Linked DNA regions of Schizosaccharomyces pombe. The protein of the gene in region 1 interacts with the protein of each later gene in a pairwise test. Each region holds a gene or a part of one and is shown in the gene's direction. Other genes may lie near its edges. The genes, in order: syp1 and get3.

Region 1 (5,266 bases):
TCGCGAATGCGCATAAGTGTTGCAGCATCTTTAGCAATATCATCGTGTCCAAGACCACTGTCCTCGCTGTCACTTCCATCTTCAAGTGGAGTGCCGTTAGAATTCTTTATGATTGCCTCAGTAAGACTGACATTCTCCACCATCTCTGACTCATTTAAAAGACCATAATCAAGCAACTTGAGTCTACAAAAGAAAAGATGAACCTTGACTTTTGAAAGCTTGAAATGATGGCAGTACAAGCAAGTTGAACGTAATAAATTGTACATTTGAGAAAAAAATAGAGGGTGATATGCAGGAATAGGAAGTACTATATGACCAAAATGACCAGGGCAGTATCTTTCATCCAAATGACATGTAGCGCAAACAGAATTTTTTAGATATGGACCCAAAGCAAGGTCATATAATCCGCCGTTAGTAGGGTGATTTAAATTGTCAAGCAAAACGGGATTTACGATTTGTTTGACGGATATTTTTTCGACATCGTCAACATCGTAAATCCCAAACTTCACACTTTTAATCTCCGAAGAGACTGGCTGTGCAATATTCATTGTACTATTTTGCTTTTGTATACAACCGGCACATGCAATCCGCCCACAGACCTATTTGGTTCTGTATGAAAAGAAAATTTCCTTAGACTGTAATTTGCTAAAGTCCGGTGAAATGCGTTACAATGTGCATAGCTGTGAAGCTTCATTACTTATTTTACAGCGCGTTATATACAATAACACACGTAAAATTTTTTGGTAAACTACAAATTAGATATTTTAGCGCATCGGTAAATTTATAAACAAACCGAAAAAACCGGATTATTGATGCTAACACGTTACGATGTACTTTCATTGTTACACGGTTAACATATTGACCACTTAAACCATGGCATTATGGTTTCATTGTCGTAATAAAAATAAACTGGAGTTATTTAGAGAATTCGTACTGTATGCGAGTGGAATGTTGGTATCAATCAACTGACTTTCGTTGCTTACATTTTATTAGACTTCACTTCAGATAAAGTGCCTTAATAGTCTAACATGTGTTAGGATTTCTGATCTTGGTCTCTCTTCATTTTTAAATTTAATTGAATTAAAGCCATTCTCAATGTTTTCTGCTTACTTACCTTAAGTAGCGAAAGAAAACTTTCGTTTATAAGCACTAGTTAGTAAAATTCATCTATGGTAACAATATGGGTTTACGAACAATTATTCATATTTTTTGTTGATTTTTGAACATATCTCCTTCTTTTTTATACTATGGAAGTTGTTACTGACTTTTTCTCTGCTCAAACGTATGTTTTCGAAAGAATAGAAAAAGGTGCGATAATAGTAGTGAGAACTCAGATTTGAAATTAGCGTATGTTGAAGGCTTAAAAAAATTGAACGTTTCAATAGATTTCACTACCTATATGTTTTTATTCAAAAACTTGTGTTTTTTGAGAAATCGTTAAGCGGTTCGAATATGTGTTGGTATATTGGGTCACTTTTCAATTGAAATATTTTTGAGACTAATCCATAGTATTGAGCAGCTAACTAGTTAATAATCGATTAATTTATTTATGCATATTTCGGAAACATCGATATTGATGTATGTAGAAATGAAAATTTTGCCTTATTAAAAATATTTTCTTATGTCTTCATAACAGCCATCTAATAGCAATACTAATCATCCTCCATAAACAATTTGTTTTGCAATTTTGGAATAAAGTGTCATGTATCGAGTCGCATTCCCCCTACACTAACCACCACCACGCCATGGAATCATTGACGAAAACGGAGTATGTAGATGCGTTTTTGGTAAGCTTTATTTTAGCTATTTCCTTCTTATTAACAAATAGTCAAACTACTCTCCAAACGACAGCATGTCGATCTTTCGACAGCGCCTAGAGCAAGTTCGCCTAGACAACGACATGCTTTCGCAGTGGATTCGTGAGCGAATGGATATTGAACGGCAATACTCAGATCAATTACATAAGCTTGCAATGAACATGCAAGAAAAAAACAATTCATCGTTTGCTTTTAATTATGCTTGGAAACAGCTCGAGGGAGAAACCCTTGAAATTTCAAGATATCACAGTCAAATCATTGGACAAATAGCTTCGCAAGTTTATAAACCTTTGATAGATTATTATACTTCTTCACCACAAACGGCTACGCTTAGACGTTTAGCAGAGCGGTTATCAACAGTTGCAGAGGAGATGGCATCGTCTTCTGTACCTGGTCTGAAGGGATTAAAAAAAAAAGGCCGTGATGCGGATACTAAGAGTCAGAATGATCTCACTGCTTCTCGTGCAACCTGGGATTCCGATGCTCCTTTAGCGTTTGAAAAATTGCAAATTGTTGACGAGGAACGCCTCCTTATATTGAAACAAGTTTACCTGACAATTGCAAGTTTGGAAACTGATACGGCTCTTAAACAGCAAGAATTTTTTTCTAAATCTATGGCAGTTTATTCTGATCTACCTATTGAAGGTGAAATCCGTCAATTCATGAACTCCACATCGAAAGTTATGTCTTCCGCATCTGCTAATAAACCATCTAAGTCATCGGGCTTTCACATAAACAATGGAAAATCTAAAGAGGAAAAGAGTCATGGAGAAAATGAATCTGGTGGTAAATTGAAGAACAAAATGTCCACGTTGTTTCGTCGGAAAACCATAATGCCTAAAAAGGATAAGAAGCCTTCGCATAAATCTAATGGTCGCCCTAATAAATTAACTGCTTTTTTTAATAAGAACTCCAAAGCTTCGAGTATTTCGTCTGCTGAAGAACACCCATCGAATATAGATGATAGTTCAATCGAACGAAGACATTATGATTCCAATCATTCTTCACAAATTCGGGATCATCCCTCTACTAATAATAACGCTTCGTCTTATCAAAACTTTAATGAAACTTCCGACGAGGGCGAGGACAACGATGCCACTATTCGTGCAAACAATGTTCGCTCATCCTTTTTGGAGGCTCCGCTACCTGTGCAGCCTAATGTTCAAGCAGAAACGGTTACGCCTAAGATTTCCTCCAAGGCTTCCCCCTTTAATAAACCCAATTCTGTGCACTCTGAAGCCTCAAGAAATACCCCTTCATCGATCGATAGAGAGAATGCATCACATTCGAATCCTATCATGATGCATGGCAATGATTTTGGTGGGAACTTTAACAACATGCAATCACGATCAACAACAACGTCTCCCACATCAGCGGTGGCTTCCCCTGCGCCTACTGAAAACGAGGATAGCAATGCTGCAATTGAAAGGGTAGCAAATACTTTACGAAAGAATCCCACTATATCAAGAAGGACCCGTCGTGCTGGGACAATGGATCGTTATGCTACAGCATCGTCTGACTATATGGAATCAAACCTCGGTAGCTTGCCCAATTTGTCTACTTTATCATTACAATCGGGACCAGACTCGACTGCAACATGGCACCCTGAGTTCCCAAATTCTTCCGGGCTTTCTGCTTCAATCGTCGAAAAGTATTCTGGTGAATTATCTGAAGATGGCCTTCTTCATCCTTCCTGTTCCGGTCATATATTCATGAAATATACCTCGGATTTTAATACCCCTCCTCCTGAAATGGGTGTTCGCGTTGCGTCTGAATTTCCTATGTCTTTTACTCATTTAAATGACCATGCAGTAAAATATGGACCCTCAGAAAACACACTTTCTTTAATACCAGAGCTACTTCTCTCACCAATCAAAGTCACTGATTTTAATCTACATCTTGATAGTATTAACGGTGCTAGTTGCATTCCATTGACAGTTGTTCAGAAATGGAAGCATGATGAAAGCAGTAGTAGTATGATTGCATTTGTGAAGCCTAATCCTGTGTGGAGGAACTTAGGCTCATCTCTTCATATTGAAAAACTTGTTATCATCGTTTACTTGGGGGAAAATGTCCTTGTAAAAAGCTGTCAAAGTTCTCCGGCCGGAGAATTTAGCAGGAAAACTAGTAAACTTAAGCTACATCTTTCGAACATTAATATATCTTCGTCTGGATTTAAAATTTTAGCCAAGTTTGCGATTAGTCCTAGTGCTGCTATTAGAAAGCCAGTTATCGAGTTCCGTATTCGCATGGTTGATTCCTCTAATAACCCTGGTCTCACCAAATTGTTTTTGAAACCAGATATGTTTGATACTACTTCTTCTAGTGGAGGTTCTCAGCTAGAAAGTGCTTATGAAGAAACGAAGGTTCCTACTTCCTATGGTATTCATGTTCGTGAGTGCTCTGTTTTTGCTGATATGAGTTAAATTACTGTTCATTATTAGTCAAGAAAAAGCAAACTGCTTTTTTGGGTTTTATGTTTACACTTTTTTGCTAACCGAATTTTTTGAACATTGTATATATATATAAATGATTTTTAACCAGAGAATGTACAAATGTAAATAGTTATAGAATTTTGAATAAAGAGTTTCTCATTATTGTACGTACAAATGAGACATTGTTAAGGAGATTTTTTAGATTATTCAACGCAACTGAAAATACACTTTCTTAAATGGTAAACCTTAGAAGTTAGGCGAAAAATAGTGTCTTCAATTTAACGAATTCTATGAGACTGTAAACTAGTACAGTAAAATTATTATTGATTGGGGAACAATACCAGATCTACCTACCTGAGAGTAGCCAACAACGTGAAAATTTTAAAAAATGGCTTTGGGGACTAAGCACGTACTCCATCTCACAAAACCGTCTTCCAGGTCAAGTCCTTTGAACATTGTCATTGAACCAGCAGTGCTTTTTTCTATCCTTGACCATTCAACCCGGAAAAGTGAAAATAATCAACGTGTTATCGGTACACTTTTGGGAACACGTTCTGAAGATGGCCGAGAAATTGAGATTAAAAGTTGTTTTGCAGTTCCTCATAATGAGAGCAGTGAGCAGGTAGAAGTTGAAATGGAATATCATCGTGCGATGTACCATTTACACCTCAAGGCTAACCCTCGTGAAGTTGTCGTTGGTTGGTATGCTACTTCTCCTGATTTAGATGCTTTCAGTGCACTGATTCAAAATTTATATGCTTCTCCTGCTGAACCCGGAACTGCTCCACTAGGAACGTATCCTCATCCCTGTGTTCACCTTACTGTCAACACAGATGTTAGCAGTCCCCTTGCCATCAAGACTTACGTTTCTTCACCAGTAGGTATTACAGAGCGCCTTGCTGACAGCTGTGCATTCGTCCCTACCCCTTTTACCATTCGTGATGACGAGGCAGTCCGTTCTGGTTTGAAAGCTGTAGCTGCTCCTAAGAATGACCCATCTAGACTTGCTAGCCT
Region 2 (4,082 bases), on another chromosome or scaffold:
GCAATTATGTCAAGAATAAAAAAAGAATTTAAAATCATAATCGTTTTAAAAAAAAAATTTTAAAAGGAGCAGCTAAATTAAATTAATGTGACATTGCATGGTTATTTATAAATTATCTTCTACAAATAATTAAACCAATTAAGTGTATAAATGCTCCTGTAGTGCTTTAATCAAAAGAAGAATCTTAATTGTTATTGTATTCATACAAATCTTACTTTACTTTTATATCTATTTACAACGTACGAAAATCGTATTTGAATATCAATTTAGGCAAACCTCATTTGTTTATTTTTTTTGGAGTTTCTTGTAACTCTTAATGTATACGATAACATCACCGGGATTAAAATTTACATATTCATATTCATCCAAATTCCTTTGTATGTTTGATTTAATTAATTAATTAATTTTGCTTTTTTTTTTTATTTTTATATTCTTTTCGATTAACGCGACCCGCCGCAATACCTTAATCACCATTTGGCGGGAATTTTGCTGAGCGATTATAGCTGGTAGTTTTTACCCAAAGGAGAAAAAGTCGCATATCAGTAGATGATGCTTTTAAACTGCTATAAAAGGTAATCCTACCCCCGTTCACTTTGAAGCGATATTTGAGCGTTCAGCTTAATTGAACATTCAGGACTTGAAAAAAACCTGTAGTGATCATTCTAATTCAAGTGTATAGGTAGCAGTAAGAAGTTGCTAAATTATACATTTTGTCTGTCTGCGAAAAAGGCCCAGCTCATAGAGAGATATTTCGCTTAAAGGTGGTAAAACTAGTGTTATTAACTTACTTTCAACAAAAGACATTTGTTTTCGCATTGTTCCGGTTATACTTGTTATTTTAGTTTAAGACGCTTTCCATTGAGTGTCTTCTTTTCTTTCTTTTTATCGGCTCTTATCCTTTATTGACAGATACCTAAGATACTTCTCAATATTTGGCTAACGCTTCTTGCAACAAAATGAGCTTAAGTAAGATGAGTATGAGTGGCATGAGTGGCATGGGTATGGGTAGCTCCAGTAACTCGAGTGCTGCGACATGTCGCATGAGTATGCTATGGAATTGGTATATACATGACTCGTGTTTCCTGGCTAAATCCTGGCATATCAACACTGGAAACAAATTCGCCGGTAGTATTATTGGAATTTTTTTCTTCGCCGTCGCTATTGAAGGTTTGTCCCTCGTTCAAAGAATGTTTGATCGCTGGATTGTTGCTCACTCTAATGGCAAAACTTTAAGTGGACCTCTGCGTATCTTCTTTCCAAGTTCCACTGTGCATGTTACTGTCTGGCAACAACTAATACGAGCAGCCATGTATTCATCGTTTTACTTGTCCGCTACCATCCTCATGTTGATTGTAATGTCGTTTAACGGATATGCCATTTTGTTCGGTTTCGTAGGTGCTTGGATAGGATTTTTCCTTTTCGCGAGTGATACTTATGGAACCCCATCCACTGGTACTGGATGCTGCGAATCAAGATAGTCATATTTAATTGTACAGGGGTATTCATAAGGATCCGATTTTAATGTACTATTAATACTTTTTACGATTGTTTTTGTTTGGTGTTGGGTTTCGATAGTGTGTTTTATGTTTTTCTTTGTTTGCTTATCAGGGATTATATTCAGACTTAGAAATAATAACTTTTTCTTTAATTCAGTTTAATATATCTCCTCTATCGGTATGCAAAAACTGGTAGTTTACTAAATATGTTGTTGATATGGATGCAAATTTATATGATGGTACAAAATAGTATATTCTCTGCTCAGTATGATTCAAAGTTGTTCCTTGATTTCTTGTGAGTGCTTTAGTCATCAACAAACATCTGTAGCTCTGATCCTTGATTTACGTTGAATGATTCCATGTAGTTCTTTTCTTTATAACGAATATGGTAATCGAGCTTCAGCAGGCCAAAACATATTATACGATTAGAAAATCCATTTAAAGGAATTTTTTTAATTATGAAATTTCAGCATACCGTATTTAGCATTCTACTAGCATGGCTTTACGAATCCTTGATAAAAAACTTACTTAATTGTTATATTGCTAGCGTATCAAAAATAGGAACAAAACATGCTATACACTATTAATTGTAGTTGCAATGTACAATTATTAAGTCTTTAATTAAATTTTTATCTCTGATCGTTGGGAACTGATCTGCCGCGTACTTAGGATCTTCATTTTCACTTGCAAACTGTCGTAACACCTATCCTCAGCATATCGCATCGTGCATCTGGTCAACGAGAGTCTATAAGAAGACTAGCTTCAGATTAAAAAAAAAAATTCTCTAATAAAGTAAAATGTCCTTCGACCCATTGCCTGGAACCTTAGAAAACCTTCTTGAGCAAACTTCCTTAAAATGGATTTTTGTAGGAGGAAAAGGCGGTGTAGGAAAAACAACTACGTCGTGTTCATTGGCCATTCAAATGTCAAAAGTTAGATCCTCTGTTCTACTTATCTCCACGGATCCTGCTCACAATCTTTCTGATGCCTTTGGCACGAAATTTGGAAAAGACGCTCGTAAGGTTCCTGGTTTTGATAATCTGAGTGCCATGGAGATCGATCCTAATTTATCCATTCAGGAAATGACAGAGCAAGCTGACCAACAAAATCCCAATAATCCTTTATCTGGAATGATGCAGGATTTGGCTTTTACAATACCAGGTATCGACGAGGCATTGGCATTCGCTGAAATCCTTAAGCAGATCAAATCTATGGAATTTGATTGTGTCATTTTCGATACCGCTCCTACTGGACATACGTTAAGATTTTTGAATTTTCCAACTGTTTTGGAAAAAGCTCTCGGCAAGCTTGGCGGTCTCTCCAGTAGATTTGGCCCTATGATTAACCAAATGGGTAGCATAATGGGTGTAAATGCCAATGAACAAGATCTATTTGGAAAGATGGAAAGCATGCGTGCTAATATTTCTGAAGTTAACAAGCAATTTAAGAATCCAGATCTTACTACTTTTGTGTGTGTATGTATTTCCGAGTTCCTTTCTCTTTATGAAACTGAAAGAATGATTCAAGAACTTACTAGTTATGAAATTGATACTCACAACATCGTTGTTAACCAACTTTTGCTTGATCCCAACACCACTTGTCCCCAGTGTATGGCTAGAAGAAAAATGCAACAAAAATATTTGGCGCAAATTGAAGAGCTCTATGAAGACTTTCATGTTGTCAAAGTACCGCAAGTTCCAGCTGAAGTTCGCGGTACTGAAGCTTTGAAGTCTTTCTCTGAGATGTTGGTCAAGCCTTACGTTTATCCTACTTCTGGCAAAGAATAATGTATTTTTTCAATCTTATCCACTGCTGTTAATAAGGGTGTCAAAAGCCTCTAAATGTATATTTTTTAACAAATTGATTGACAGCTTGAATATGCATATTAGAATGGCTGTTTCTAAGTTTTTACATTACTTTTATTTTGTTGAAGAATTCTTATCGTTTCCTCAGTTGAGCTTGACTATTTGCCAAAGCAAATAAACCAAAAGCGCTAGGTTGATACACTGTTTAATGATTAAACACAACAGGATTCTGAGCACACTGTTTAGATTAATATTAATCAATTTGACAAGATATGAACGTGTCTGGAATAACTCAAAACATTAAAAAGTTAACTTGAACTAACAGTCATTTGATACAGTTGTTTTAGTAGAATGAAGAAGACGTAATATGTAAAATTCTTCAGCTAGTTTTTCCGTAGATTATTTAACTACACCAATTATTAAAATACAATGAAAAAACACACATCCGAACATGAGGACGGAGACCTATAAGTTATAGTCTAATAATGGTATTGTACATAAAATTTGTATTTAGGCTTCCATGATGACTCATAACAAGGAAAACATAGAATACTAACAACTGACAAATTAAATAATTCCATAAGTTATAACAGAAACCTTAGAAGATGACTTTAACATATTGAGAAAATAATAAAAATACCGAGCAAGCGTACTGGTCACTTTAAAGAGAGAATTCAGCCTGTAGTTTTCGAAGTTCTTCTTCTTCATCCAATTCTTGAGGCTTTGAAATAGAAGGGAGGTCTTTGACTTGAGACGGGACAGCAGGAACAGCAGGAGTGTG

What was found.
Region 2: the proteins of syp1 (region 1) and get3 interact in a two-hybrid assay, tested with the Schizosaccharomyces pombe proteins (2 studies listed by BioGRID, with this or other methods).

Annotation. Positions count from the first base shown.
Region 1 is NC_003423.3:3,123,181-3,128,446, reverse strand, and holds syp1 (cytoskeletal protein Syp1), read left to right. Parts: upstream 1-1,725; 5' UTR 1,726-1,745; coding exon 1,746-1,787; intron 1,788-1,828; coding exon 1,829-4,243; 3' UTR 4,244-4,445; downstream 4,446-5,266. Other genes in the region: DNA-directed RNA polymerase I complex large subunit Nuc1, read right to left, coding at 1-548; tif306 (translation initiation factor eIF3f), read left to right, coding at 4,641-5,266. UniProt on the Schizosaccharomyces pombe protein: Multi-functional protein that contributes to the endocytic process, but also to events that occur at the neck during cytokinesis.
Region 2 is NC_003424.3:3,634,809-3,638,890, forward strand, and holds get3 (GET complex ATPase subunit Get3), read left to right. Parts: upstream 1-2,201; 5' UTR 2,202-2,293; coding exon 2,294-3,283; 3' UTR 3,284-3,582; downstream 3,583-4,082. Other genes in the region: Cu transporter complex subunit Ctr5, read left to right, coding at 957-1,478; ESCRT III complex subunit Vps32, read right to left, coding at 3,963-4,082. UniProt on the Schizosaccharomyces pombe protein: ATPase required for the post-translational delivery of tail-anchored (TA) proteins to the endoplasmic reticulum. Recognizes and selectively binds the transmembrane domain of TA proteins in the cytosol.